Linked DNA regions of Macaca mulatta. The protein of the gene in region 7 purifies or fractionates together with the protein of the main gene of each other region. This does not show direct contact. Links are inferred from orthologs where the notes say so. Each region holds a gene or a part of one and is shown on either strand. Other genes may lie near its edges. The genes, in order: ARPC5, ARPC2, ACTR3, ARPC3, ACTR2, ARPC5L and ARPC1A.

Evidence for each region.
Region 1: the proteins of ARPC1A (region 7) and ARPC5 fractionate together in Homo sapiens (co-fractionation; 8 studies listed by BioGRID and IntAct, counting the BioPlex papers as one, with this or other methods). This does not show direct contact. The link is inferred for Macaca mulatta from reciprocal best matches to the Homo sapiens genes ARPC1A and ARPC5.
Region 2: the proteins of ARPC1A (region 7) and ARPC2 purify together in Homo sapiens (affinity purification with mass spectrometry; 8 studies listed by BioGRID and IntAct, counting the BioPlex papers as one, with this or other methods). This does not show direct contact. The link is inferred for Macaca mulatta from reciprocal best matches to the Homo sapiens genes ARPC1A and ARPC2.
Region 3: the proteins of ARPC1A (region 7) and ACTR3 purify together in Homo sapiens (affinity purification with mass spectrometry; 7 studies listed by BioGRID and IntAct, counting the BioPlex papers as one, with this or other methods). This does not show direct contact. The link is inferred for Macaca mulatta from reciprocal best matches to the Homo sapiens genes ARPC1A and ACTR3.
Region 4: the proteins of ARPC1A (region 7) and ARPC3 purify together in Homo sapiens (affinity purification with mass spectrometry; 8 studies listed by BioGRID and IntAct, counting the BioPlex papers as one, with this or other methods). This does not show direct contact. The link is inferred for Macaca mulatta from reciprocal best matches to the Homo sapiens genes ARPC1A and ARPC3.
Region 5: the proteins of ARPC1A (region 7) and ACTR2 purify together in Homo sapiens (affinity purification with mass spectrometry; 9 studies listed by BioGRID and IntAct, counting the BioPlex papers as one, with this or other methods). This does not show direct contact. The link is inferred for Macaca mulatta from reciprocal best matches to the Homo sapiens genes ARPC1A and ACTR2.
Region 6: the proteins of ARPC1A (region 7) and ARPC5L fractionate together in Homo sapiens (co-fractionation; 7 studies listed by BioGRID and IntAct, with this or other methods). This does not show direct contact. The link is inferred for Macaca mulatta from reciprocal best matches to the Homo sapiens genes ARPC1A and ARPC5L.

What each region holds. Positions count from the first base shown.
Region 1 is NC_133406.1:41,104,569-41,108,235, forward strand, and holds part of ARPC5 (actin-related protein 2/3 complex subunit 5), read right to left. Parts: intron 1,272-3,667; coding exon 1,095-1,271; intron 1-1,094. UniProt on the Homo sapiens protein: Component of the Arp2/3 complex, a multiprotein complex that mediates actin polymerization upon stimulation by nucleation-promoting factor (NPF).
Region 2 is NC_133417.1:123,429,389-123,433,561, forward strand, and holds the start of ARPC2 (actin-related protein 2/3 complex subunit 2), read left to right. Parts: upstream 1-1,348; 5' UTR 1,349-1,359; coding exon 1,360-1,433; intron 1,434-4,173. UniProt on the Homo sapiens protein: Actin-binding component of the Arp2/3 complex, a multiprotein complex that mediates actin polymerization upon stimulation by nucleation-promoting factor (NPF).
Region 3 is NC_133417.1:23,708,074-23,712,292, reverse strand, and holds the start of ACTR3 (actin-related protein 3), read left to right. Parts: upstream 1-1,299; 5' UTR 1,300-1,508; coding exon 1,509-1,552; intron 1,553-2,121; exon of another isoform or gene 2,122-2,283; intron 2,284-4,219. UniProt on the Homo sapiens protein: ATP-binding component of the Arp2/3 complex, a multiprotein complex that mediates actin polymerization upon stimulation by nucleation-promoting factor (NPF).
Region 4 is NC_133416.1:117,616,605-117,620,714, reverse strand, and holds the start of ARPC3 (actin-related protein 2/3 complex subunit 3), read left to right. Parts: upstream 1-1,191; 5' UTR 1,192-1,268; coding exon 1,269-1,274; intron 1,275-4,110. UniProt on the Homo sapiens protein: Component of the Arp2/3 complex, a multiprotein complex that mediates actin polymerization upon stimulation by nucleation-promoting factor (NPF).
Region 5 is NC_133418.1:59,439,875-59,443,541, forward strand, and holds part of ACTR2 (actin-related protein 2), read right to left. Parts: intron 277-3,667; coding exon 131-276; intron 1-130. UniProt on the Homo sapiens protein: ATP-binding component of the Arp2/3 complex, a multiprotein complex that mediates actin polymerization upon stimulation by nucleation-promoting factor (NPF).
Region 6 is NC_133420.1:22,905,205-22,909,364, reverse strand, and holds the start of ARPC5L (actin-related protein 2/3 complex subunit 5-like protein), read left to right. Parts: upstream 1-1,269; 5' UTR 1,270-1,355; coding exon 1,356-1,505; intron 1,506-4,160. UniProt on the Homo sapiens protein: May function as component of the Arp2/3 complex which is involved in regulation of actin polymerization and together with an activating nucleation-promoting factor (NPF) mediates the formation of branched actin networks.
Region 7 is NC_133408.1:46,590,132-46,593,798, forward strand, and holds part of ARPC1A (actin-related protein 2/3 complex subunit 1A), read left to right. Parts: intron 1-1,507; coding exon 1,508-1,583; intron 1,584-2,712; coding exon 2,713-2,906; intron 2,907-3,667. UniProt on the Homo sapiens protein: Probably functions as a component of the Arp2/3 complex which is involved in regulation of actin polymerization and together with an activating nucleation-promoting factor (NPF) mediates the formation of branched actin networks.

The DNA.
Region 1 (3,667 bases), on a different chromosome or scaffold from region 7:
TTGGGGCTATCCTGGGAAAACTGTGAGGAATGGTTACCCTATCCATAAATGTTAGTTCTTTTTGATAGTGTATGAGGGATAAAGTGACTTGACCAAGGCTAAACAACAAGTTTACTATGTACTTTTCTCTTATGTGTGTGTTTTCATTCGGATACACTTCAAACACTTAATATTTTTATGGCTGGTTCTATTTACATGTTATCCAGTTTTTTACCCAAAGCTCAAAATCCCTTGTACTCTTTTGACAGATGATGTACCAGCATCTACTTACATTGCAAAATATATGCATGAAAATAGAAAAAAATGATTTAAGAATTCTTGATCCTCCAAACCCCTAATTCTTTAAAAAAAAGTTGTAAAATATCTAACACAAAATTTGCCATTTTAACCATCTTTAAGCGTAAAATCCATTGGCATTAATTACATTTACAATGTATTGTAGCCATCACCACTATCTGTTTCCATAACTTTTTTACCACTCCAAGCAGGAACTCTGTACCCATTAAGCACTAACTCCCTATTCCTTACTTTTCCTACTTCCTGGTAACCTCTAAGGACTTTCTGTCCCTTTGTCTTTGCCTATCTTAGATTATTTTATATAAGTAAAATTATAAAATATTAGTTCTTTTGTATTTGGCTTATTTCACTTGGTATGTTTTCAAGGTTTACTCATGTTATAGTATGTGTCAGAATGTCATTCCTTTTTATGGTTGAATCATATTCCATTGTATGTATGTACTACAATTTACCTGTTCATCTGTTGATGATCCTTGTGTTGTTTTCACCCTTTGGTCACTGTGAAAGAATTCTTGATTTATACTGCTTATTTTCTTTTACAAAGTTTTGATTTAATTTAGAGTTCAAGATTATGTTTAATTACTAATAATCGTTGCTGAATAAACACAAGTGTTGGAATTAGAATCTCTTAAGACCAAGGCTAGTAAACATAAATATGAACTATCATTTTCATGCATTTTATTTGTAATAAAAAAATGTACAACCAAGTCAAAATGGTTATTCAGGTGAGAGAGGTCGTCACTGTCATCCCCTATTGTAAAAGAACCAGTTATGTAGATTTATAATTCATAATTTACCTTTTCATGCCATTGCAGTAACACAGCACTGCTATTGTCAGAGGGGCTCTCAAATCCTTTATAAATATACTTCATTAGGAGATCCACACCATTCTTGTCCAGAGATTGAACTGCCTTTTCAATATCATTAGCTTTAAAAGAGATGAGCACCTTCAAGACAATGCTGCCTGCCCGGTCCTGGTGAGTAAATAAATAACAGAACATTTAGACGTATCTGTATGAGGATGGTTTAGAATTTCAGAAAGGCCACACTAAGAAGGTGACATTTGAGTAAGGACCTGAAGGACGTGAAAGAGGAAGGCCTGGGATAACTGAGGAAAGTGTTTCAGACAGAGGAAAGAACACACTATTAGTGTGTGTTCAGTGTGTTCTAGGAATAGGAAAAAAACCCAATGTGGTTGGAGTGGACTGGTGGGAGAAAAGCAGGTGAGCAAGTCAGAGGTTATGGGAGGACAGATCGTGTAAGGCCTCCAGGCATTGTAAGGAGTTTGGCTTTTACTGAGAGAAATAAGAAGACATTGGAAGGTTTTAAGAGCAGTGCCATAATCTGACTCACATTTTAACAGGATCGCTTTGGCATCTACGTTACAGAGAATAAGCAGTGGGGGTAGGGGATAAGGCAGAAGCAGGGAGAGCAATTAGGAGGTAATTGCAGTAATACAGGCCGGATGTGGTGAGCACAGTAGCAGTGGAAGTGGTTAAAAACTAGACAGACTATTGACATAATTGAAGGCAGAGCCAAGAGGATTTGCTAACAGATCAATGTGATAATTTAACAATTTATTAAAACAACATTTAAATTTTATGTCTTGATCTTAAAAACAAAATTCCAACAAAACAGCCGGGTGTGGTGGCTCACAGCTGTAATCCCAGCACATCGAGAGGCCGAGATGGGCAGATCACCTGACGTCAGGAGTTCAAGACCAGCCTGGCCAAAATGGTAAAATCCTGTTTCTGCTAAAAATACAGAAATTATCCGGGCATAGTGGCAGGTGCCTGTGATCCCAGCTACTCGGGAGGCTGAGGCATGAGGATCGCTTAAATCCGGGAGGCGGAGAGTGCAGTGAGCAGAGATTGCGCCATTGCACTCCAACCTGGGCAACAGAGTGAGACTCCGTCTCAAAAAAAAAAAAAAAAAAAAAGAAACCCCACAAAACAAGGAAGCAGATTTGCATTTCTACCTTGAATTATTCTTCAGAAGTAATTTTTTCTTAAAAACTTTCTTTTAAAATTTTTAAACAAAGCTGTCTTAAAAGAAAATTGTAATTTATATGAATTGACTGTAGATACGAAATATAGTGATGTTCATTAATAATGATCTTTTTTCTTTAGCAAAAGCCTGCTTCAAAAGCAGTTATTTTCTTACCCATTCAAGCAAGCAAAGGGAACACTTAACTGACCTTTTCAACAATTCGTTTCTTCTTCCATTCAACACAAAGGGCTACCTCCAGCATTCCTACTGGTCAGGATTTCACACAATGTTTCTACTACCTATTGTTATCTTTGGTTTAAAGACTATGCAATCACCAGATTTAGAAAACATATCTTTGCATCCAGGGTAAAAATGAAATTTCAACGACATTCTTTACAACTTGTAAAAACCAAAGCAATTTTTCCCCGATAAAAAATTATGTTACCTAGATAATTATTACACATTTACCTAAGTTATTACTTACTACTACTCAATTGAGATTCTTGAAGCTCCTAGGATGTACGAATAGTTATGGACAATGAGGTTGATGCTATGGGCATCATTTTAAATAAATACTTAAATAGGCTAAGAACTACTAAAAGACTGCAGAGAATGTAAGTTGCACAACCATTCTGAAGGGCAATTTGGCAATACTACATGTACCAAAAGCCTTAAAAAAGTGCGTTCTTTGATCCAGTAATTCACTGCTAGCAATTTATTCAAAGAGAACAATTAAAAATTTACCAAAAAATATTCATTTCAGTGGTTCACAATAGGAAAAGTCAGTCTAAATATATAACAAAAGATTAGTTATGTATACACTGCAGCTTATCCATATACAACTGTTAAAAATGCTATAGAAATAAACTTATTACGAAGGAAATCTCTTGTACATTGCATACAGCCGAAAAAGCAGGTTATAAAATTTCATTCTTAAAAAACAAAAGGGAACTCTAACAATATAGCAAGGCCCCAAAGTAGTAACTGTTATCTCTGGGTAGTGGGACTATAAATGACTATCTTTTTAACCTTCCCATATGTCTGAGCTTTCTATAATAAATATTTAGTATTTGTACAGTTTTAAAAAATCTTTAAAAAGCAATTACAATCTGTTTATTTTTGTAAAGGTTTAACTTATTTTTCAAACCTTTGTTCAAATTCAGCCTGAGTGGTCTCCTCTAAAAACACACACAAATGATTTCACTATTTGAATTCACTGCATCTTACCATGCAGCATTATCATAACTACATTACAGGGCTATTTTTTCACGTGAAATTTTTACCTATCAAACTACATTATAAACTCTTCTATGTCAAAGTTAGCAAACGGTTAAAATATTGGTTTTTTTTTTTTTGCAACTGCAGAGGATTTTACTAAGAA
Region 2 (4,173 bases), on a different chromosome or scaffold from region 7:
TAAGTTTATTACATTCTCCCCGGAGGAGGGAAAACACAAAACAAGGCACTAAGGCAGATGGTGCGGATGTAGCACAAAGAGGAGTTAAGATTCCGCACTCAGGTAACAAGGAGGGTGTATCTCTGCCAGAGGTACTGGAAGGTTTCAAAAGCAGAAAAAAAATGTGTTCTGGACACCTGGACGTAGAATTGGAGGCATGACAGAAACACAGGGAGGCCCATCTAAGTTGCCTATTCACCCAGGTGACCTCTCATTCCTTTCCTTAATTGTCCTTTTAACAATACAGGGAATTTCACGCAAGGAAAGTGTCCTCTTCTCGCCCCAGCGGGCAAGGGGGTTCCTCCGGCGCAAGTTCCGGCCCCAGCTATTCCCACGTCCCACAGGTCTCCTGCCTTTTGGTACGTACACTCCTGACCACTCGCTGCTTCCGCATCCCTACTCTGATCCTCTCCCCATGCATCTCTACCTCCTTACACAATTGAAAATTTTATTGTCTGTTTCCTCTACCAGACTCTAAGTTCCACGAGGGCAGGGCCTCATCTATTTCATTTACCACTACATCCCCAGTATAGAGCAAGAGCCCATGAAAATGTTTGTTGGAGAAATGAATGTCTGATGGTGTCGCTGGACAGCTATACCTGGAAAGAAAAAGAGGCACCCCCAGCAAACAAGCTGGGAGCAAAGAAGCCCGCTGGGAGACTACAAGGGCGAGCTTCTTGCGAGGTCTCTGAAATGACAAGACCGGAAGAACGGAGTTGGATCTCTGGGACAAGCGGGAGTGAGAACCTGGACAGTCAGGCAAGCCTCGGGGAATGACAGCTCCGCGGGGGACGCACTGGTAGGCTGTAGACGTAAGGGGGTCTGTGAGAAAGTAGAGGGTGGGGTGGCGGCATCAGACATACGCAAGCGCAGTCTCCGTTTCCTCCGGCGCGCCTGCGCTCGCGTTCACGAGGGGTTGAAGCGGAAATGGCGCCGCGGGGCCGCGCGTCCAGGCGGCGAGCGGAAGTGGGTGTGAGAGCGGAAGTGGCCGGCTAGAGCCGGGGGCTGGGCGGGGACTGGGCTTGTCGGTGAAGCGGCAGTGGCGGCGGCGGCGGCGGCGGCTCGGCAGGCGGGTTCAGGCTTTGGGGGCCAGGTCGGTTGGTTGGTTGGGTGGGTGGGTGTCTCCACAGTCTGCGTGCGTGGGCCAGCGCGTGCGTCTTACCCTTCCCTCCATCCCGGCCCCTCTCCCCTTCTCCCCTAACCTCCTACCCCACCCAGGTCCCTTCAGGGGGCAGCAGGGCCGCTTCCTCCGTCCTTCCCTACCTTACCCACCCTCACCGGCCCTTGTTTCTCCTTCCCCTGCTCGGGGCAGCCGCCGCCATGATCCTGCTGGAGGTGAACAACCGCATCATCGAGGAGACGCTCGCGCTCAAGTTCGAGAACGCGGCCGCCGGGTGAGCGCGCGCCCGGGGCCAGGGGTGGCGGGGGAGGCAGAGTTGACCCCAGCTAATCCCCAGTGTCGTCCAGTCCCCCAGACCTGGAGGAGAGAAATGGGGTGCCTGGCAGGGTGTAGGGGCTGCCCCAGCGGGGTAGAGGTGGGAGGCGATTGGGCGCGGCCGGGCGAGGGGCAGAGATGCGTGGGGAGAGGCTCAGAGGAGGGATGCGGAAGCAGCGAGTGGTGAGGGCTGTGCGTGCCAAAGGGCAGGAGACCTGTGGGACGTGGGGGACGCTGGGGCCGGAACTCGCGCCGGAGGAGCCCCCTGCCCGCTAGGGCGAGAAGGGGACCCCTTCCCTGCGTGAAATTCCCTGGCATTGTTCTGAACCCAGAGAGAGCCTGTTTGGAATTGGGTTGGAAGGAGTTTTCAGGAATTCCCAGGACTGGAGGAGGAAAGGAGATGCAGGCCCACGTCGCCACCAGCATTCTCGTTCCCCGCTGCCGTCTGCTCTAAAAGGAGCAGAAGAGAAGACTGAAAGCCAACCCAGTCTTAGAGCCGGAAAAACGCGATCTCTGGTTTCCCTTTCCCGAACCCTTCTGTGAGAGACACTGGGCCATTTTGTTACATAGTTTTCAAGCAAAGCTAATTGTCCCTTGCTCCACACCCGTTCCTTATCTCTCCTTTGAGGTTCTAATGCTCTCTCCTCGCCCACTAGCCTTTATCTGGTTATCTTGTAAATTCTTACATCAAGACCCTTGGTCTGTGATTTCTTCCGTGGTAGCCTTGGCCCAGTTACACACTTCAAAGCCTCCAGAATCTATAAAGTTCTTAGATAACCTCTCTTTACAGTTGGACTTTTTAAAAGATGGGCTTAGGTCGTATTTCCAAGGCAGCCTTCTCTGCCAAACACAAGAATCAGTAGAAGACAACCTCCTCCTCCAAAGCTGCTTTGCTTTTCTAATATATTTAAAACATGAGCTAAGCGTTTTGGGTTCTAATTTTTGGTGGCCTATGGCCAATCCCCTTGCCTCATTTCCCTATCTGTAAGCATGGGGCTTCACATCTGGGTTTCACAGTTGAGGAAATAAGAGCAGACTGTTTCTGGTGAACTGGGAGCTAGTAATAGGAAACTACTTGGAGATCCACAGATGGGAAAAGATTGGTAGAGGGGAATTTTTAAGTGGTCATAATGTACTTGTGGCTTGGAGGCATTAAAAAGTATTAACTACCATTTAAATTGAATATATAGTATGTCCTGTCTCCTTTATAAGGCAACAGATTTTATCTGTAAAACAAAGCACTACTTTCCTTGAAGTAATATGTGTAGTGAGCAGTACTGTTTCCTGCCAGGGGCTGCAGTTGCTTATATTTTAGGCTGACTTGCTGCTTTCTTGTCTTAGCCTCTCTTACCAGTTTCTTTGCATTTTAGATATTCAAATGAATCAGCCCAGAGTCTTATTTTGGGTGATTGCTGTATACTTTTTTCTGAGCAGTGTAGCACATAGGAGGAAGTTGAATTAACTTCTGCATTTTCATAACTGATCTTAATGCATTCTCAGGTCCAGACTAGCAAAGAATGAGACCTGGGCGGTTATAAGCTGATCTACAAGATAAATGGCTGTGTATTTGCAAGAAGAGGCATGTCTTTTAACATAGGAGTACATTCTCGTCTATTTGTGTATTAATGACTTGTGATTCCAAAATATGGCCCATTATTCGGAACTTCAGTTCTTTCTTTTTCTTTTAAAAAGTTATTCTTAAAAGAAGCAGCTAACCATTTCGGAGGGATTAAATAGGCCCTCAAGTCTGGAAGAAAAACGTTAGGACTTGCAGGACATTTTTTTTTCCCCCCGAGACAGACTCACTGGCTGGAATGCAGTGGCGCGATCTCTGCTCACTGCAACCTCGCCCTCCCAGGCTCAAGTGATTCTTATGTCTCAGCCTCCCAAGTAGCTGGGATTATAAGCACGCGCCACCACACCCAGCTAATTTTTGTATTTTTAGTAGAGAATGAGTTTCACCATGTTGGCCAGGCTGGTTTCAAACTCCTGGCCTCAGGTGACCCGCCCACCTCGGCCTCCCGAAGTGCTGGGATTACAGCACCGCGCCTGTCCTCATTTTTTACAAAGATTTGCATTGTAGGGAACTTGTATGGGGGTGCACTGCTGTGTGTGCTTGTGCACATGTACGGGTGTGTGTGTGTATAAATTTAGGCTTTCGTTCTGGCCCATCTCCCTCTTTGAGATTTGGTTTTCAATAAGGCGGCTCAGAACATTCTGCTGAGAATTTGAAACTTTGAAAGTCTTTTAAAAGACCACAATATCCTGCCTAGTAGGCAGGGCTCTCCTGGGATTACAGATATATCACCCAGCAGAAGCCCGAATGAAGCAAGCGGAAATTACCAGGCATCCCAGTAAGGTAAAGCAAGGTGCATGCCTATTCCAGAACTTCAGCAAAGTTTGCCCAGTGTGGTTATCATAAACATGTATGGGATTCTACCAGTGCTCAGCCCAGGCAGCAACAGAAAAAAGGGGCCTTTCTGAGAGCCTATTAGCCAAGTTAGGGAGGTGCTAAAGGGTGAAAGGTGTTGGGGTGGAGATCAGAGAAAGAGATTAAAGAATGGGAGTAATTTGGAGGAGAAACCCCGGAGATTTGAAAGGCCTTGCTGGTGTGGGAACCTGCTAGGAGAGGTCAGCTCCACCCTACTTTTTGCACTTCTCAGAATAAACCAGTTGGGGAAATTACAGTTCAGAGCAGC
Region 3 (4,219 bases), on a different chromosome or scaffold from region 7:
TGATCTCACGGACTGAATAAGACATCCTTCCTTTTAAAGAATATTTTTATTTTAGCTTCACATTAGCAAACTCAGAATGGTTTATTGTTAAGATCAGCCTGGTAGAGAGGAAAGCTATTAACCTTCTAGGGTCCTAAAGTGGAACTAGGAACTGATTAGATACGCAGATTTTCAGGCATTATTTCAGACAGCCCAGTCAGAGAATTCTGGGGGTGTGGCCCAGCAATCTGTTTTAACAAACCTTTCGGGTGATTCTGACACACACTAAAGTTTGAAAGGTTTCTTTAAGGCTTTCCAGTTTTCTTTTCTTTTTTTGGAGGGATGGTGGTGGTGGTGGGGGGGTCTCCCTATGTGCCCAGACTGATCTCGAACTCCTAGCCTCAAGCTATCCTCTCCTCCCACCTCGGCCTTCCAAAGCATTGAAATTACAGGCCTGACCCACTGCGGCCCGCCTCCGTCTTTAACTTAAAAAAAATTTTTTTTGGGGGGGCTAAATCCCTTCTATTATCCCGCTAGTAGAATCTTACTACTCCTGAGGGTAATCTTTGTCATAGTCCAAAAGCCTTGAATAAAGGCTGTTTGTAGTTTTGCAGAATATATTCCTGGGCGGTTTGCCTTCCTCAGGAGCTCAGGCCTTGGGAGGTGGGGGTTGGAGGGCAGGGCTACATTCTGAAGTCCTGTAACAACGCACAAGTACAACTGAATAAAACTCGGAACAAAGGCATCAGGGCCACGGTGCAAGCCTTTGTTCATCCGTTCCCCGACTGCTCACCCTGTGTGATATCGCTCTTTTCCACCCAGAAAAGCAGCCACTCAAGTTTTAAGAATGGATGCATGCCGCGGACGTTTTCGATTAGGCCGTTTTCTCCCAGGCACTGGAGGATATTCGTGGCTGCAGGAGGCGCTTCCACTCTTTCCTCAACCTAGCAGAGAAGTAACTGAAACTAACCCAAGGGCTACCACCGAAAAGCCCCTTCCAGCTTCAGAAGCAGAACTAGAAGCTCGGCTAGACTTCTCCGTCTCTACCCTCCTGGAAAACCCGCTGTGGATTTCACTAACTTCAGGATCGGAGCCCCGGCAGGCGAACGCACCTTATTGCGCATGCTCGCTAGCCCCTCCCGCTCGGAGCGGAAGGGGGAGTGCTCGGGGCCTGGGCCTGGCCTGGCCGGGGCGTCGGCACCGGCGGCCATCTTGGCTTCCCGGGGAAAGGCGGCGTGAGGGGAAGAAGTTGTAGGGTGGGGGCAGGAGTGGGGAGGAGGGAAGAGAGAGGGGGAGGAGGCCGCGGCGGGGCAGGGCGGGGACTGCCTGCCTGCTTGGGTTGCGGAAGTGATAGCCGCTGACCGAGCCTGCTGCTTTCTTGCTACTGCTTCGGCTTCCCGGCTACCCCCCGGACGGTGAAGGCGGCCCGGCTGTGGATGGTCAGATAGCGCCTGTCTCCCGCCGCCAATCTCTGGCCCCTAGCAGCACGGAGCAGACGGCGGCAGCAGCAGCAGCAGGCGAGGAGGAAGATGGCGGGACGGCTGCCGGCCTGTGTGGTGGACTGTGGCACGGGGTAAGGGGGCTTACGGGCGGGGGTGGGGAAACTGAGGCGGAGGAAGGAAAATGGCGGGGGAGGGAGGAGGCCGGGAAATGAATGGTGCGGCGAGGTGCTGCCGCCGGCTGTCAGTCCTAGACTCGCCGGCCAGCGAGGGGTGGGGCCCGGAGCCAGGGCCTCGCCGGTCCCCTCGTTTCTCCCTCCTAGGACTGGGGCGGGGGCGCGGGCCCCAGATTCAACCCCCAACCCTCCCTGCAGCTTCCTCCGCGCGACCCCTCCCGGCCCTTCCCCCACGGCGGTGGGCAGTGCCGCCCAGAGAGTGCTAGGGACGGTCGTCTTAGGGGTGGTCCCCGGGCCCGACCCATCCGGCTTTGCTTTCCCTCCGTGTCCCTTTTTGCCAGTCGGTGTGGGGACCCAGGGGCCGAGCTCGGGGACTGGCCTGGTAGAGGAGCTAGAAAAGAGAAGCGCTCCTGGTAGGTTTTGCAAGATCGCTGTGACAACATTCTGCCCAGGGTGTGGGTGGGGAAAGGGAAGAATCGGACTCTGAAAATGGGAACCTACAGTGGGGTTTTCATTTGACCACCCACCTTCTCCTTTCGACTCCCGGTCATTGCCATCTCCCTCTGCGTTTCAACCGGTGAACCGAGTCACATTTTAATTCGAGGGAGAAAGATGTCATGTGTTACTTCTGTAGCCTCAAAAAAGTCCCCCAGTGAGCAAGCGCGCTGTAACTTCCTTAGTTTTGTCAAAGCCGCTTCCTGCTTTCAGTCTTTTATACCCTTATAAGGTAGTTTTTAGTTTCCAACCTGAACACATCTTATTAGAACTTTTAAAATTAAGCAGATTTTAAAGAGACTGAATTACAGGTGCTTGGTATCCATTTATATGACTTAAAAAATGTGCTTATGTTTCATGGAGAGGGGAGAAAGGAAGCACCCTGGGAAATAAACTAATTTAAGTTGTATTCGTTCATTCTGTAAAGGTATCTTGAAGGAAGCAGAAAGGTATAGAGGTATATAGGAATGTGTTTAAGTTGCAAGTAGTTACTCCTAGATCTGTAGGGTAGTTTGCTAAAATGTAGAATGGCTTAAAAGTGATCTTTCATTTTGTATTAATAGACATTTTAGAGAGTTGTACCACACTCATAACTACATAGAGAATAGACTACTCTTATTTTAATGTAGAATCACTGCTTCACGATGACTTATAGGAAGGGTTTTTTTTTTTTCTGTTCTGATTACATCTCTCCAATTCCCAAAACACTCCCAATTTTTTTTTTTTTTTTTGAGGGGGAAGGCAGTGAGAGGCTTGTTTTTTTATTAATTATAATTATTAATTTCATTATTGTTACTTAAAAGATTGTGTGTCCTTCACTCTTTACGTGAAATTTCTTTAATCTTCATTCTCATAACTAGCTAGTGTGGCAGTTTCTAAAATCCCAATTAGGTAGAGAGAAACAACCAACTTCTTAATATTCTCCCTAGGAAAGCACTAGCCTAGATTAGCCTTGGAACTTCCATGTATTTTATTGATGAACACTTTATTATAAAGTTTTTCATGAACACTTTATTATAAAGTTTTTTCTTAATTGGTTCTCATTTCTCGGAACCAATAGTTTTTTTTATTTCCCCCTTCTTAGTCTAATTGATGAGTAGTTTTATGTCTAAGTTCAGTTTTAAAATTAGATTTGGCCTGAGTCAGTAGGATAGAACTTTTTAAATGTGTTTTGTTAAAGTGACGAATATTGCTACATAATTAATGCTTTAGAAATTACTGAGTTGTCAAAAAAAATAGTGTAAATAACTGTGGCCCTAAGAAATAATATGGTAACATCTCAAGTAGTATGTTACTTTTCTAATCTCCATTTTTCCCTCTTTGAAATAGTTTCGAATTAGTATACAGGATGTCTCATTGAGGTCATCTGTCCTTAAGTGACCTCCTTTCCTAAAGGGCAACCTTGAATTTAAAACATGCTGAATGACCAGTAGGATCGGGGAGAGGGGTTCAATTTAACCTAGAGTATTTCTGTTTTAAAATTACAATTATTACAATAGTATATTTTTAAGTTATTACACTGGTTTCTCTGATAAGGAGAGGTTGTTAACTGCACTTTGATGATTTGAATGGAACTGATTAGGAGTCCCCTTGCCACCTCCCTCTCTTTACCATTTGTCACAATCTGAAATTCCCCCTTTAGAGTTTCAGTTATTTTGGTCCTCAAAAGGCTTTTTGGTCTTGCAAGTTGCCAGTGGTGCCTCCTGGGAAGTTACACTTTCAGCTTTATTAGCACATGGAGGATAAGTCCTTGAGGTCGAGGACCCTGAGATAAGCATCTCTAAGTATGGCCTTAACAGGGAGCTTTTACATTTCAAAATTCTGTGGGCCCCGAATGCAAATTGTGCACCTATAATTTGTCTATTTCTTTATGCTTTAGAGAATGCATTCAGTTCTTAGGTCTCTAAATTACAATTACCCACTTAGCTTAAGTAAAAAGTTGTAACCTGAATCAGGTTGCTCATTTCATTCGTTATATAAATTAGGGAAAAGGTGGCTGGAAAAAAGTGGCCATCTGTAAAACTTGATCGTCTTAGATAAGAAAGCTTTTAAGAGTTAGGAAACTTGAAACTTAATCCCAAAACTTGTCGGGATCGTCCAGCAGAACTCAACATATGAATCACCTAGATT
Region 4 (4,110 bases), on a different chromosome or scaffold from region 7:
TGGAGAGTGACTATGGGGCTACTTTGGGCTCTTTGTCAAAAAAGACCTTGCCTAAAAGGTGCTATTTGCCCAGTCACCTGAATGCGAAATCAGATGTGGGAACATGGGGCTCTATTCCAGGCTGCGAACTGGCAGAAGAAATGGCTCTCAGGTAGCAATGAACTTGACTTTTAACGTAAGTTTTCTAGTAATAAATAGGTTAAAAACTCCTGGGCTTTCGGTATGCTCCAAGCATGTAAGTTCTAAGCATTTTACATGTAATTCATTTCATCGTCACAAAATTATGAGGTAAATATTGTTACAACCATTTTCAGGTGAGGAACTGAAGTACAGAGGCAAGTTAACTTGCTCAAAATTATAGAGCTAGTATGTATTGAAGCTGCGATTCAGATTCCAGTGCCCTTCAGTTTCTCCATTTTTAGATGCAGTGCATTGGGTTCATTCATTTACTCAAATACTGATGTTTCCTACATACCATCACTGTTACAGGCGCCAGGGGACAAAACGGGCGAAGTGCTGTCTGGCATTTACAAGGATAGGGAGACAAGCACTAAGAGTAAACTAAATACAAGAATCATAAGAACTAAGGGAAAAAGCGGGAGAGAAGGATAAGGCATGGGGCTGGAGTCGGGTGAATTGAAAACAGAATGACCAGAGGCGGCTTCACAGGAAAGGTGTTTTGTTTGTTTGTTTAAGATAGAGTCACACTCTCACCCAGGCTAGAGTGCAGCGGCACGATCTTGGCTCACCGCAAACTCCGCCTCCCAGGTTCAAGCGATTATTCTGCCTCAGCCTCCCGAGTAGCTGGGATGCTACCACGCCCAGCTAAGTTTTGTATTTTTAGTAGAGACGAGATTTCACCATCCAGGCTGGTCTCGGACTCCTGACTTCAGGTAATCCACCCGCCTCGGCCTCCCAAAGTGCTGGGATTACAGGCATGAGCCACTATGCCCGGCCCTGAAAAGGTGAAATTTGAAAAAAACACAAAAGAGGTGATTGATCGAAGATTCTGGAACCTCAAGACCCATCTCCATTCTGCGCGCGCCTCACGCTGCGCCACTCTGAGGGCCCCTACCTAGCGCTCTGGCGCCCCCTTTCAGATCCGCGCGGCCGCTGCAACCAGAGGCGGAACTACAAAGCCGGAAGCTCACGTCATCACCCCGCCCCTTCCGTTTCGCTTCCGCCTACCCCGCCCGGGCTGCAAGACCGGAAGCGCTCTGCTCTACCTGGATTCTGCTCCTCTGGGTTGGAACCCGGGTGCTGCCAAGATGCCGGTGAGGGTTCGATCCATGGTGTGGGGAGACAGCGGGGATTGCGAAAAGCGGGGAGAAACCTTGTGTGTGCCGAGAGAAGCGGGCGGCGGAAGGCAGAGAGGAAGCGGGGGCCCGAGAAGGAGTGAGGCGAGGGGAGGGGACCGGTCGCTGAAGAATTGGGACAGCCCGCGGGTGCCAGTCGTGGGAGGCGGGGGCGCGGCAGGAGTGGGCCCGGGGTCCAGGGGTCCAGGGTGTGTGAGGAGGCCCTCTTCTCTCTCTCTCCGTCTACTCCTTCCGGCTCCGGCAGGGTTCCCAAAGCGTCACTACAGCGCGAAGCCAAGGGTTGCCCTTTTTATTTTTCATATTTCAAGTCCAGGGTCTAGCTTCTCCTTTTTCTGTGAGGCCCACTTCCTCCTCCGCCCCGGGGGGCAGGCTCCCTCTGCTGTTTGTCATTTGTCAGAACCCACTTCCCGGCAGCGGCGGCCACCCCGGAGCCACCTGGGTATAGGGCCCTCACAGACTCGGTCGGCGCCTGACTTCCAAAGATTTCCTTTTTCGTGTGCATCAGAGTGGGAGTAAAAATCTATGACGGTCTGGTTGTACTTAATTTCTGACAGGCAGTCTGTGGGCTAGATTTATCACCATCATGGTCTCCATTTTGCAGATTCGGGAAAAGGTGGTTCGGTTATTGTGTGATTGTTCACACTTTTTTTGTTTTTTGAGAGAGTCTCGTTCTGTCGTCCAGGCTGGAGTGCAGTGAGGCGATCTCGGCTCACTACAACCTCCGCCACCTTGGTTCAAGCAGTCCTCGTGCCTCAGCCTCCTGGGTAGCTGGGATTACAGGCGCGCGCCACCACGCCCAGCTAATTTTTTGCATTTTAGTAGGGACGGGGGTTTCACCATGTTGGCTGGGCTGGGCTGGAACTCCAGACCTCAGGTGATCCGCCCCCTCGGCCTCCCAAAGTGATGGGATTATAGACATGAGCCACCGCGCCCAGCCTGCTCACACATTATTTTTAACAAACGTTACCGAGCACCTACTGCCTGCCAGGCTCTATTTACAGCAGCAAATAAGTTCAACAAATCCCTAATCTTAAACAGTGTACGTTCAAATCGGGAGACGAGACAATAAAAGTGTAAACATAAAGGAGATACATACAGTAGTGTCAGGTAGTGACAAATGCTATAAAGAAGCTAGATGGATGGCCAGGCGCGGTGGCTCACGCCTGTAATCCCAGCACTTTGGGAGGCCTAGGCGGATGGATCACGAGGTCAGGAGTTCAAGACCAGCCTGGCCAACATGGTGAAACTCCATCTCTACTAAAAATAAAAAAATTAGCTGGGCGTAGTGGCGCGTGCCTGTAATCCCAGCTACTTGGGAGGCTGAGGCAGGAGAATCGCTTGAACCCAGGAGGTGGAGGTTGCAGTGAGCCAAGACTGTGCCACTGCACTCCAGCCTGGCCACAGAGTGAGACTCTGACCCCCCCACTCCAAAAAAAAGAAACTAGATAGGTAACAAGACAGTTTGGTGAAAGGGAAGGCAGAGGGTGCTTTACATAAAGTATACTTGTGATGAAAAGGAGCAAGCCATAGTTGCAAATACATATATATATAGATATATATAGATAGATTTTTTTTTTTTTTTTTTTTTGAGACAGGGTTACACCCCGTCTCTGAGACTGCAGTGCAGTGACACAAACTTGGCTCAGGTGATCCTCCCACCTCAGCCTCCTGAGCAGCTGAGACTACAGGTGTACATCACCACGCCCAGCTAAGTTTTTCTATTTTCAGTAGAGACAGGGTCTCACCATGTTGCCCAGGCTGGTCTCAAACTTCTGGGCTCAAGCAGTCCTCCTGCCTCGACCTCCCTGAGTGTTGGGATTACAGGCGTGAGCCACCTCATTCAGCCTCACAAATACATATTTTATGAATTCCGTAATTACCATTTGACTCCTGAGCTCTGGGGTACACACTTTATAAATTATCCCATCTAATCCTCATAATGACCCTGTGAAGTAGGTACCATGATTCCTATTTTACAGAAGAGGAAACGGAACCTCAGAGAAGTTAATTTGGACAAAGTTGCCTACTAATGGTAAAACCAGATTTTAAGCCAGGACTCTAGGCTGGGTACAGTGGCTTATGCCTGTAATCCCAACACTTTAGGAGGCCAAGATGGGAGGATCACTTGAGCCCAGGAGTTTGAGACCAACCTGGGCAACATAATGAGACCCTGCCTCTACAAAAATAAGAATAAATTAACTGGATGTGGTAGTGCATCTCCTCCCAGCCTCTCAAGAGGCTGAGGTGGGAGGATCACCTGGAGCCAGGAGTTTGAGGCTGCAGTGAGCTGTGATCATGCCACTGTACTCCAGCCTGGGTGAGAGGAGACTCTGTCTCCAAAAAAAAAGGACTCTAAAGCCCTGTACTGGCTCCAGTTGCACATAGAGCACCCTGGATTCACCCTGGGTTGGTTGGTTGGTTGGTTTGTTTGAGATGGAGTCTCGCTCTGTACCAGGCTGAAGTGCAGTGGTGCGATCTCGGCTCACTGCAACCTCTGCCTCCTGTGTTCAGGTAATTCTCGTGCCTCAGCCTCCCAAGTAGCTGGGAATACAGGCATGTGCTACCACACCCGGCTAATTTTTGTATTTTTAGTAGAGATGGGGTTTCACCATGTTGGTCTGGATGGTCTCTATCTTTTGGCCTTGTGATCTGTCAGCCTCGGCCTCCCAAAGTGTTTGGATTACAGGCGTGAGCCACCGTGCCCGTCCCATCCTGTGATTATTTTTTGTCTACCTTCTCTACTCTTCAAGGACCAGGACTGTACTACTTTGTATATTACTGTATCACAGTGTCT
Region 5 (3,667 bases), on a different chromosome or scaffold from region 7:
AATTATTTCAAGTAAGTTTATAAACAACTTAGGCATTCTATTTAATTCCACCTATTTTTGATAAATAACTTTAAAATTTTTTTTATTATTTTTCTGATAAATAACTTTGAAATCACCATTTCTAATATACCTGGTATCAATGTCAGCCGCCTGAATTGTGTTAAAAAGCAATTCAGCAACACCAACTCCTTCAACATTGATCAAGTGAGGCTGAAATAAAGCTTCTGGTGCTTCAAATCTCTCTCCCCCAACTTTGATGATACGTCCATCTGGGAGCTAGAAACCAAGAATAATCAGGTACTAATCAGAAAAGATTAAAATTTCCCAGTGTTCTCCAGAACACTAGTACTTACAAATACATCTGTTCTGTAACCAAAATCATTACCAACAATAACTTTTCCTAAAAAATATTTTGGGGAAAAAAAGGTAAATTAAATAGATTCAGGTAACTGTTCTTATCATCACATTCTGTTTTGCTTTTAAAAGTGGTATGCCATGCCCCCAAATATCAGGAATTTCTTGGAGAAATCACTGATGCATGAGTGCATGACATTTGCAGCAAAGCAGAAACAGCCATCACTAACCAACCACTGTATTTTGATTACTGCTGCTATGTGTTACTGCAGTTTTATAATTTTAACATATTTGTGATTTTATGGATATTTCTGCTATGTAGAATAGACATGTTAAACATTGATTGACTGACTGAGATGGAGTTTCGCTCTTGTCACCCAGGCTGGAGCGCAATGGCGCAATCTCGGCTCACTCCAACCTCTGTCTCCTAGGTTCAAGCAATTCTCCTGCCTCAGCCTCCTGAGTTGCTGGGATTACAGGCATGCGCCACCACGCCAGCATATTTTTATATTTTTAGTAAAGACAGGGTTTCATCATGTTGACCAGGTATTGAACTCCTGGCCTCAGGTGATCTGCCCGCCTTGGCCTCCCAAAGTGTTGGGATTACAGGCATGAACCACTGCACCCAGCTACATCAAACATTTTAAATAATTTTATGTCACCAAATAATTACTCTGTGAAACTATTATTTTGCCATCAAAATACTTTATAACATGTGTGCCACTTCTATCAAATCATTTAATCCAAAAAATGTTTTATGATCAAAGAAGTTTACAGAACACTGATCTAGACTATTTTTATTAGGCAATTCTGTTGTATCCTACTAGGTCCTAATAAATTTTAAATAACTGATAAATATAATTTCAATTTAAGCAAATAAGATTTAAACAAATCAGGTGTCATATTATTATTATTATTTTTTTTTTTTTTATTTTTTTTTTTTGAGACGGAGTCTGGCTCTGTCGCCCAGGCTGGAGTGCAGTGGCGCGATCTCGGCTCACTGCAAGCTCCGCCTCCCGGGTTCACGCCATTCTCCTGCCTCAGCCTCCCAAGTAGCTGGGACTACAGGCGCCCACAACCGCGCCCGGCTAATTTTTTGTATTTTTAGTAGAGACGGGGTTTCACCGTGGTCTCGATCTCCTGACCTTGTGATCCGCCCGCCTCGGCCTCCCAAAGTGCTGGGATTACAGGCGTGAGCCACCGCGCCCGGCCACAGGTGTCATATTATGACTTTGTACAAAAAAACCTTGTCAGTCACACATCATGTTCATATTTAATTAAATGAGAAATGTTAAGTAGAAACTTCCTCTCATAACACCTCACAATTCACTGGATTGTCCTAAGTAATAAGCATGCCCATGTATGCTGGCATTTGACACATTTCTATACAAGATACCAGAATTAATTTTACATTAACAAGTCTAACAGTACATTTATAATATAATTACTTTTTTTTTTTTTGAGACAGAGTCTCGCTCTGTCACCCAGACTGGAGTGCAGTGGCTTGATCTTGGCTCAGTGCAACCTCTGCCTACCGGGTTCAAATGATTCTTATACCTCAGCCACCCAAGTAGCTGAGATTACAGGCATGTGCCACCATGCCTGGCTAATTTTTGTATTTTTAGTAGAGACAGTTTTTGCATGTTGGCCAGGGTGATCTCGAGCTCCTGGCCTCAAGTGATCTGCCCAGTTTGGCCTTCCAAAAGTGCTAGGATTACAGGCATGAGCCACCATGCCTGGCCCTACAATATATATATATATATTTTTTTTTGAGATAGGGTCTTGCTCTATTGTCCAGGCTAGAGGGCAGTGGTGTGATCATGGCTCACTGCAGCCTCAATCTCCCAGATTCAAGTGATCTTCCCACCTCAGCCTCCCAAGTAGCTGGCACTACAGGTGCACACTACTATGTCTGGCTCATTTTGTTTATTTTTGTAGAGATGGGGTCTTGCTTTGTTACTTAGGCTGTTTTTGAACTCCTGGGCTCGAATGATCCTCCCATCTCGGCCTCCCAAAGTACTGGGATTACAAGGATGAGCCACCACGCCTGGCCAATTACAATGATTGTTTAGATTCCAAAACTGACTGATTCTGGTCCCAGCTACCTAGGAGGCTAAGGTGGGAGGATCACCTAACTCTGGGAGATTGAGACTGAAGTGAGCCGAGATCATGCCACTGCACTGTAGCCTGGGCAACAGAGTGAGGAGACCCTGTCTCAAAAGAGAAAGAAAAAAAAGGTTACCAAAACTTACAACCTTAAAAAAGCCACCTCCGTCAGGTGGGTTCACATGAAATCATCCAAAATATTTGGAAAAACTTCGCACAGCAGATCTTACTAGCAAAACCTCCTTCCTTAAGCACTCGAAGCCTGATAGTGTGGCTTCTTTCCATGCTCTGGCTGCTGGCCAACATGGGGTCAAGTTTTCTAACCACCTTAATGAACTGTTAAACGTAGGCATCCCATTTCTTTGCACCAAATCTTACCCTGTTCTGTATTTGTCCACTCATGCCCCTCTTTACTTACTCACCAGCTTATTACTTTATACTTGTGTATATGTGTGTGTATATATCAAATATATATATATATGTAAATACATATATGGGTTTTTGCTTTGTTTTTTTGAGACAGGGTCTCGCTCCTTCACCCAGGCAGGAGTGCAGTGGTGCAATCCTAGCTCTGCCTCAAAACTTCAGCCTTGAACTCCTGGGCTCAAGCAATCTTCCCACCTCAGCCTCTCAACTAGCTAGGACTACATGCATGTGCCACTATGCCTGGCAAATTTTTGTATTTTTTGTAGAGACAGGGTCTTCTTGTTATATTGCCCAGGCTGGTCATGAACTCCTGGCCTCAAGTGATCCTCCTATCTCAGCCTTCCAAAATGCTGGGATTACAGGTGTGAGCCACTACACCCAGCCTATTTGTATATATCTTTGTAGTCTACCTCAAATGCTTTGAGAAAAGAGAGAAGAAATAAAACACGTTTTACATTTCTAGTTTGCTTATCTTTTGCCCTGTGCCAGCCACTTTCTTCCAAACTAATCAGGTAGATGGAAAATTAGACAACTAGAGAAACTATCAAGAAGACTTCAGGAAGGAATCTCCAGAGCAAATCTGGAGATGATTAAGTTACAAAATGGGTTTACTCCTAGAAGAAAACCTAGACAATACCATTCAGGACACAGGCATGGGCGAAGACTTCATGACTAAAACACCAAAAGCAATTGCAACAAAAGCCAAAATAGACAAATGGGATCTAATTAAACTAAAGAGCTTCTTGCACAGCAAAAGAAACTATCAACAGAGTGAACAGCC
Region 6 (4,160 bases), on a different chromosome or scaffold from region 7:
CTCTCGAGTAGCTGGGATTACAGGCCTGCGCCACCACACCCGGCTAATTTTGTATTTTTAGTAGAGACGGGGTTTCAGCATTTTGCTCAGGTTGATCTTAAACTTCTGACCTCAGGTGATCCGCTCGCCTCGGCTCCCGCAGTGCTGGGATTACAGGCGGAGACTTTTCTTTAGCGCCAGTTTCCCACTATGGGAGTCTGTATCCTGGTTACCACGGAAGATTAGGTTGCATCATAGTCTGGCAATAGTTTTTTGATCTTTAGACACAGTTCAATGAGAAGTATTCGAAGCAGTAAAAATGAATCACATTCCAACTTTTATTAACAAGGGTACTATTAGATGAAAACAGTTTTCATAGTATTATATAAAAGACCCATTTTACTTACCCTAAGGCTAAGATCAATTAACAGAACCCCTGGGGTAACAGCCCAGGCACCAAATCTGACACCTCAGAGTCGTCCTTGACTTCCCTAACCCGCTTTCCCGCATCTCAGATTCTGAGAATTTGGTTTCTATCAAGATGTGCCTCTCAAGCCAGGCCTCTCCTGCCAGGACGGTGGCCACAGGGCCATCTCCCTCTCCTGGGGCCCCAACTGCCTGGTCAAGGTGACTGCTACACACGTGGGGCCGCAAAATCCCTCGAGTCACAATGTCTTCAACGCCTTGTCAGCCCTCTGATCGCACTAAACGTCTTTAAAGCCTCCCACTCCTTTAACAGGGTCACCTCTGTGTAAAGGAGACCTCCTCGTGCTAAGTGTGGCGGCGTTCAAGATTCCAAGACACAGACCCCTCCCGCGTCACTCCCCGGGCACAGGAACTCCTACTCATCCCTCAGTCATCAGCTCGAAGGTTTCTTCTCCAAGAAGCCTGCCCAGCACCCGAGAAGTAGAGCCCCGAGCCTTCTCCCGGGCGCCCAGTCTTCCCCCGTACAGGCAAGGATCACCCCGGAAGCCCGCGCCGGGCCCCGCTGAGGCCAGGGGTTCTTCGGAGGCGCGGGAAAGCCGGATCACCAGCGCGATTACGGCACACACTATGCGGGGCCTGCAAGGATACCGGGCGGCCACTCCTCAGTGGTAAGACAGAGGCTCCGCGGAAGAGAGACTGAGGTCGGAGAGGCCGCGGAAACCCCATAGCGCACTCCACGGGACAGGTTCCGCCCCGCCCCGATGACGCTTCCGGATCCGGCGTGTGCCGGAAGTGGGCGGGCGGCGGCGGCTGCGCGCGGAGGCGGTGGAGGAGGTGCTGGGAGCAGCCCGGTGGCCGCTTCCCGCCCCCGAGCCGGAGCCGGTGCGAGTGGAGCAGAGCTGAGGTCGGGCCGCGAGTGGAGCCGGCTGAGCGGGCGCCGAGCTCCCGCCATGGCCCGGAACACGCTGTCCTCGCGCTTCCGCCGGGTGGACATCGACGAATTTGATGAGAACAAATTTGTGGACGAGCAGGAGGAGGCGGCGGCGGCGGCGGCGGAGCCAGGCCCGGACCCGAGCGAGGTGGACGGGCTCCTGCGGCAATATCCTTTCCTGACGCGGCGTCCGGGCCTGCGCGCGGCCTTCCCACCTTCTCGGGCCCCTTCGGGCGGGCCTCTGCTGTCTCCGACCCCCGGCCCCCTCAGGTCAGCCTTCAACTCCCTGCCGACCTGACTCCCCTGGGCCGTGCTCCCCTGAGTCCTGGTCTCCCTGGGTCCTTCCTCCCCAGCCCTGGCCCCTTCTTGTGCAGCGCAGCCCCGCAGGCCCTTGGACCCGGTGGACGGGCTCCCTCGGTAGCCCCGCAGGTCCCGCGCCCCGGGCTCTCTTCCCCTCTTGCCTCCTCGTCCCCTCACGCTGTCCCTTTCTGGGGGCCCCAGCACTCCGTCCCTCCCTTGCAGGAAATCGGGCCTATGGCGGGGCTGGGTCGGCGGCAGGGCGGAGGTGAGCCGTATCTGAGTAACCGAGTGATCGGTGAGGCTGGGGCGCGGTCTTCCGGGGCCAGATTGCCGCAGGGCGTGAAGATAGGTGGGTGGACCGCTGTGGGGAAGACAGGACCCAGGAGGGAGTGGAGGCGGCCGCCCTATTTCAGCCCTGGGGTCTAAGGTTGTGCCTCCCCTCCCCCAGTCAGTCTAACCCTCCCGCTTAATGCTGAGAAAGGGAAACCCTGTGGTTCCTCTGGTCACCTTGGTGGTCTCAGCTACGCTCAGCAAGTGAGTCTTGGCTCCCCCCAGTACCCTTCTGGTGCAGGAAGCAGCGGAAAGAACTAGTAGTTCAGAGCTAAGAAAAACCAGACACCTTGAAGTGAAGTGTGAAAGTAGAGCCCCACGCCTGGAAATGACTGTTCTTGTGGCCACAGAAAACAGCATTTAGAAAAGATTAAAAATAGAGGTGATTGTCACAGCCTTGCTTGGTCCTTTAGCAGTATGAGCGCAGGAAACTGACTTATTCTCACCGGAAGGATTTTTCTTTATTCAAATGGTGTTCCAGGAAGCCTGTCCCCTCCCCCCGCACGGGCGGGGGCAGGGTTGGAGGCCCATGCTGTACATAAATCAGGTTCTCGGTGTTGAACCAGTTGACTCAGCTTGGAAAGTGGGGCCTGCTGCTTTAGGGGGAGCCCGGCAGTGCTCCTCAGTGTGCCTTTAAAACGAAAACCTTCAGACTTGGTTTGAACAGGAATGTGTTTTCGGAAGTGGAGATTCAAGCTTGTCATTCCTGCCCCATCAGGATCTCCCAGTCCACCCTAGTTATGAAATGGGGTCAAGGGAAGGGTCCCCAGGAGGGAAGGTTGGTTGTAGTCAGGTGCAGGGCCTGGCTTATGGAGAGTCAGTGCTGAAGGGGGCTCCAAGGTCAGGCCTTTGGCCCAGGACCCTCATTGAACAGATGAGGAGGTCAGGCCTGTCAGCTGCTGCCTTGGTCTGGGTGCAGAGCCTTGTTGAAGGTCATGTCTTGGGATTCCCCTGCCTGGTGACAGGTTCCTTGAGGCTGCTTAGAGGCCTGGGTTTAGCACATCCCGGGGATGGTCGTTTCTCCATTCATGGCAGCGGCAGAAACCTTGTTACCATGGAGAGTGTTCCACCTGGGGTTGGGGAAAGGGAGGTTAGCGGATAAAGAGAACTGAAACCCTGGCAAATACCGGACCCAGGTAGGGAGGAGAATGGAACTGATATTTATTGGGTCTCTATCATGTGCCAAGAATTGGACTTAGACCATTGAGGACAGGGGAGCAGGGAGAGGGATAGAGGGATTGGGGTTGGGGAGGGCAGAGAGGAACCCTGTCCTGGGGCTATATAGGGAAGTGTGTGTGGCGGGAGATCACGCAGATGGGGTAGAAGGAACTCGGCTGTGCATCTTCGCACACCGCGCGCCATCATGCTCTGGCTCTGACCTCGGATAGGTCACATACCCTTTCACAACTCAGCATTCTCCTCTGTGACGTGGCAGACAGCCGTGCTGGCTTCCTAGGTTCTGTGGGAGCCTCATGGGCTAACATCAGCATCACGGGGCACACAGCAAGTGTCTGCTCAGGTCTGCAGCTAGAGCGGCAGCACGGGATTGTGGGAGGAGCTTGGGTGCCAGGGCCATCTAGACAGCTTAGTTTTGTGACCCTGTGCAGGTAATTTCCGTTCTCTGAGCCTCAATTCCATTGCCTTTCAAATGAGATAATGATTGTTGTTACTGGGATTTTTGGAATGAGATGGCATGTGAAAGCACCAGGCACAGGATCCGAGACCTTGTGGCGATTTAAAAGTATGAGTTCCTTTCCCCTCAGTGAAGCAGCTTCTAGACTTCTGGATCAGGGCTCTGGCCAGAGCAGTGGTTTTGAGCGATTTTGCACCCCTCCTCTCCACCTCAGGAAATTAGAAACATTTTGATAGTTACAGCTTGGGGATGCCACTGGAATCCAGTGGGCAGAGGCCTATGACCCACAGCTGAGATCCCACGTCAGAGAATCGTGGGTCCACAGTGTCAGTTGTGCCGTGATTGAGGAAGATCTAGAGATCAAGGGCTGGGCAGGGTTCCCCCAGCACCACAGCCTATTCTCTGAAAAGGTCTAAAGCCAGCCAAGTGTGACAGCCGGCTTCATGAATGATAGGTGATTTCAGGGAGGCCCTCCCTGCACCCCACATCACCCAGCTGCTGAAGGCCCTCACCCATCAATGGACCGAGTGATTGCTGGACACGTGGTGCTGAGGTAACGCC
Region 7 (3,667 bases):
AAAAAAAAAAAAAAAAAAAAGATTGTCCCCTCCATTATAAAATGTAGTCTTTCAGAAAATTTCTCTACATAAACAAGCACTTATATATCTTTTCATTTTTAACAGAAATGAGGTTATACATTTTATACATTTTTGTATACATTTGGTAATTTGCCTTTTGATACTTGATAATACTTAGGTATTTTGATGCCAGTGTTACTTAATTTTTATATGGTTTATTGTGACACAGTAAGTTCTTAGCATATGCTTATTACAAGTCCCTATCTACCCTCATATTGACTTCTTTCCCTTTTCCAGTCCTGCAAGTCAGATTACATGCTCCACCCTTCCGCTCCTCCAACATAAATATCTCATGTAGTAAAAGTCAGGTATACCACACTAAGGGCTTCAGATGACACATTAATTCTTCAATGGCAACTTTATGAAGGGCGTCCTGAGACATGTACAGTTAGCTTTTATTTTGTTATTATTTAGAGAGACACTCTCTGTCGCGCAGGCTAGAATGCAGTTCTGCAATCATAGCTCATTACAGCCTTGAACTCCCGAGCTCAAGTGCTCCTCCCAACTCAGCCCCTCAAGCAGATGGGGCCACAGATGTGCACCACCACGCTAGGCTAATTTTTTTTTTATTTTAATTTTTCATAGAGACTGGGTCTCACTATGTTATCCAGGCTGATCTCAAACTCCTGCCTCCAGCAATCCTTCCGCCTCAGCCCCTCAAAGTGCTGAGATAACAGGTGTGAGCCACCACGCCCAGCCACAGTCAGCTATTGAATGCATCGTTTCTTGCATGAAGTGAGGTGCTCCTAACTCATCAGCCAGTGTGTTTGCCTGCCATATCTGTGTAATCTCTTTGCCACACTCAAGAGCAAATAACTACATGCACACACGTGTCCCTGCACGCACACATACACACACACGGCCCATTCGAGTGCGAGCTCCTGGCTAAGACCATTTGGTTCATTTTGGTGGCTCTAATTGCTGACACAGTGCCTGGCCGTCAGCACAGATGTGTGTGGCCACAGCCGTCTCGGAGCTCCGGGGAGCACAGGCAAGGAGAGGGTCCTAGCACAGGTGTTTGCTGCCAAGTCATAGTAACAGAAAGAGCTCTAGGAGCTAAGAGCAGGGAGAAGCTGCTTTAGGCTGCAGTGGCCTCTGGGAAAGTGGACCGTGGGATCATGGGGGTGATCCCTTTAGAGCTGTGCTGGGGGTCGAAGGGCGTGGGCGGAAAGACAGGGCTTTGGGAACCAGTTTGTCATGAGTGGGCGGGGTCTCAGAAGCAGGCGGGAGGAGCCCAGGCTGGAGCTGGAGCCGGAGCCGGAGCCGGAGCCCAGGGCCACCCCTGGCTCAAGAGGCCTGCAAGTTGAGGTCAGAGGCTCCTTTTCAACATAAGTGCCCGTTGATACTGCAGAAGCCCCTGTGAGAATGGGTCCTTTGTTGTCATCTGTGTCTGTAAAGAAGCTAATAGTCTGTTACATCTTGGGATAACAAACGTTCTTGTGTTTAGGGTCTCAACTCTGAAGACGGAGTTCCTGCCGCTCCTGAGTGTGTCATTTGTCTCAGAGAACAGCGTCGTGGCTGCTGTGAGTATTTTTCTTCATTCTCCCTCGGGGTGCACTGTATGTGATGCTCAGACAGGGAACAATGTGTGCTCTGTCACCCTAGCACAAAGCAGAACAGTTTTTTGTTTTTTGGTTTTTGGTTTTTTTTGAGACAGAGTTTCGCTCTTGTCCAGGCTGGAGTGCAGTGGGTGATCTTGACTCACCGCAACCTCTGCCTCCCGGGTTCAAGCGATTCTCCTACCTCAGCCTCCCGAGTAGCCGGGATTACAGGCATGTGCCACCATACCTGGCTAAATTTGTATTTTTAGTAGAGATGGGGTTTCTCCATGTTGGACAGGCCAGTCTCAAACTCCCGTCCTCAGGTGATCTGCCCACCTCGGCCTCCCAAAGTGCGGGCGTGAGCCACCGTGCCTGGCCTTAGAGCTCACTCTTTTTTTTTTTTTTTTTTTTTTGAGACGGAGTCTCGCTCTGTCGCCCAGGCTGGAGTGCAGTGGCCGGATCTCAGCTCACTGCAAGCTCCGCCTCCTGGGTTTACGCCATTCTCCTGCCTCAACCTCCCGAGTAGCTGGGACTACAGGTGCCCGCCACCTTGCCCGGCTAGTTTTTTGTATTTTTTTTTTAGTAGAGACGGGGTTTCACCGTGTTAGCCAGGATGGTCTCGATCTCCTGACCTCGTGATCCGCCTATCTCGGCCTCCCAAAGTGCTGGGATTACAGGCTTGAGCCACCGCGCCCGGCAAGCTCACTTTTAAGAGTAAGAGCAGGTGGGGCACGATGGCTCACGCCTGTAATCCCAATACTTTGGGAGGCCAAGGCAGGTGGATGACCTGAGGTTGGTAGATTGAGACCAGCCTGGCCAACATGGTGAAACCCTGTCTCTACTAAAAACACAAAAATTAACCAGGGCATGGTAGCGCGCATCTATAATCCCAGGTACTTGGGAGGCTGAGGCAGGAAAATCACTTGAACCCGGGAACCAGAGGTTGCAGTGAGCTGAGATCGTGCCACTGCACTCCAGCCTGGGCAACAGAGCAAGACTCAATCTCAAAAAAAAAAAAAAAAGTAAGAGAGGCCTATCATGGTGAACACTCTGCCAAGGAGCTGGGCGGTGGGCAGTGTGTCCTCCAGGGACTGACTGAGTCTCGTTTCAGGGCCATGACTGCTGCCCAATGCTCTTCAACTACGATGACCGCGGCTGCCTGACCTTCGTCTCCAAGTTAGACATTCCAAAACAGAGCATCCAGCGCAACATGTCTGCCATGGAACGCTTCCGCAACATGGACAAGAGAGCCACGACTGAGGACCGCAACACGGCCTTGGAGACGCTGCACCAGAATAGCATCACGTAGGTGCCGTCTGTAGAAAGGTGGTCAGGTGACAAGGTGCCCTCCTGCCCCTCGCCGTTTTCTTACTGGGTTCCTACAAAAGCTCTATGCCCCGCAGGCCCAGGCATTCCTTCAGTTACAAGTGCAGCAAGAAGTCCGTATCTTCCCGACTGCCAGGCTCTCATTTCCAGCTCGTGATAGGGAGAGAGTCGCCACCACCTGGTCATTCTATCCTTCAAGGTGCAGATTACAAGGCAGCAGCCAGCAGCAGCTGTTGCAATCCGAGGTGGTGGGGCTTCAGGGCAACCGCTTCCTAGGGCACCCTTTCTCAGCTACTCAAGAATGAAAGGAGACTTTCTTGAATGCTGCGTTCCCATGGTAGTGCACACATAACAGAAAGCGAAGTTACAGCCTGTTTGAAAAGGTAACTGTAACTGTCATTTCAAGTAATGGATACAAAAAGAAGATTCTTTAATTAAAGAAACAATTTCTTAGCATCATGATGACAAAGCTGAGGAGTGTTTCAACTGGGTTTTCATAGGGTATATGTAATTATGTAAGACAACAGAATTGTGTTTTGTCCAGAAAGTTTGATATTTATTTATTTATTTATTTATTTATTTATTTATTTATTTTGAGACAGAGTCTCACTCTGTTGCCCATGCTGGAGTGCAATGGCACAATCTCAGCTCACTGCAACCTCCGCCTCCCAGGTTCAAGCAATTCTCCTGCCTCAACCTCCCGAGTAGCTGGGATTACAGGTGTGTGCCACCACACCTGG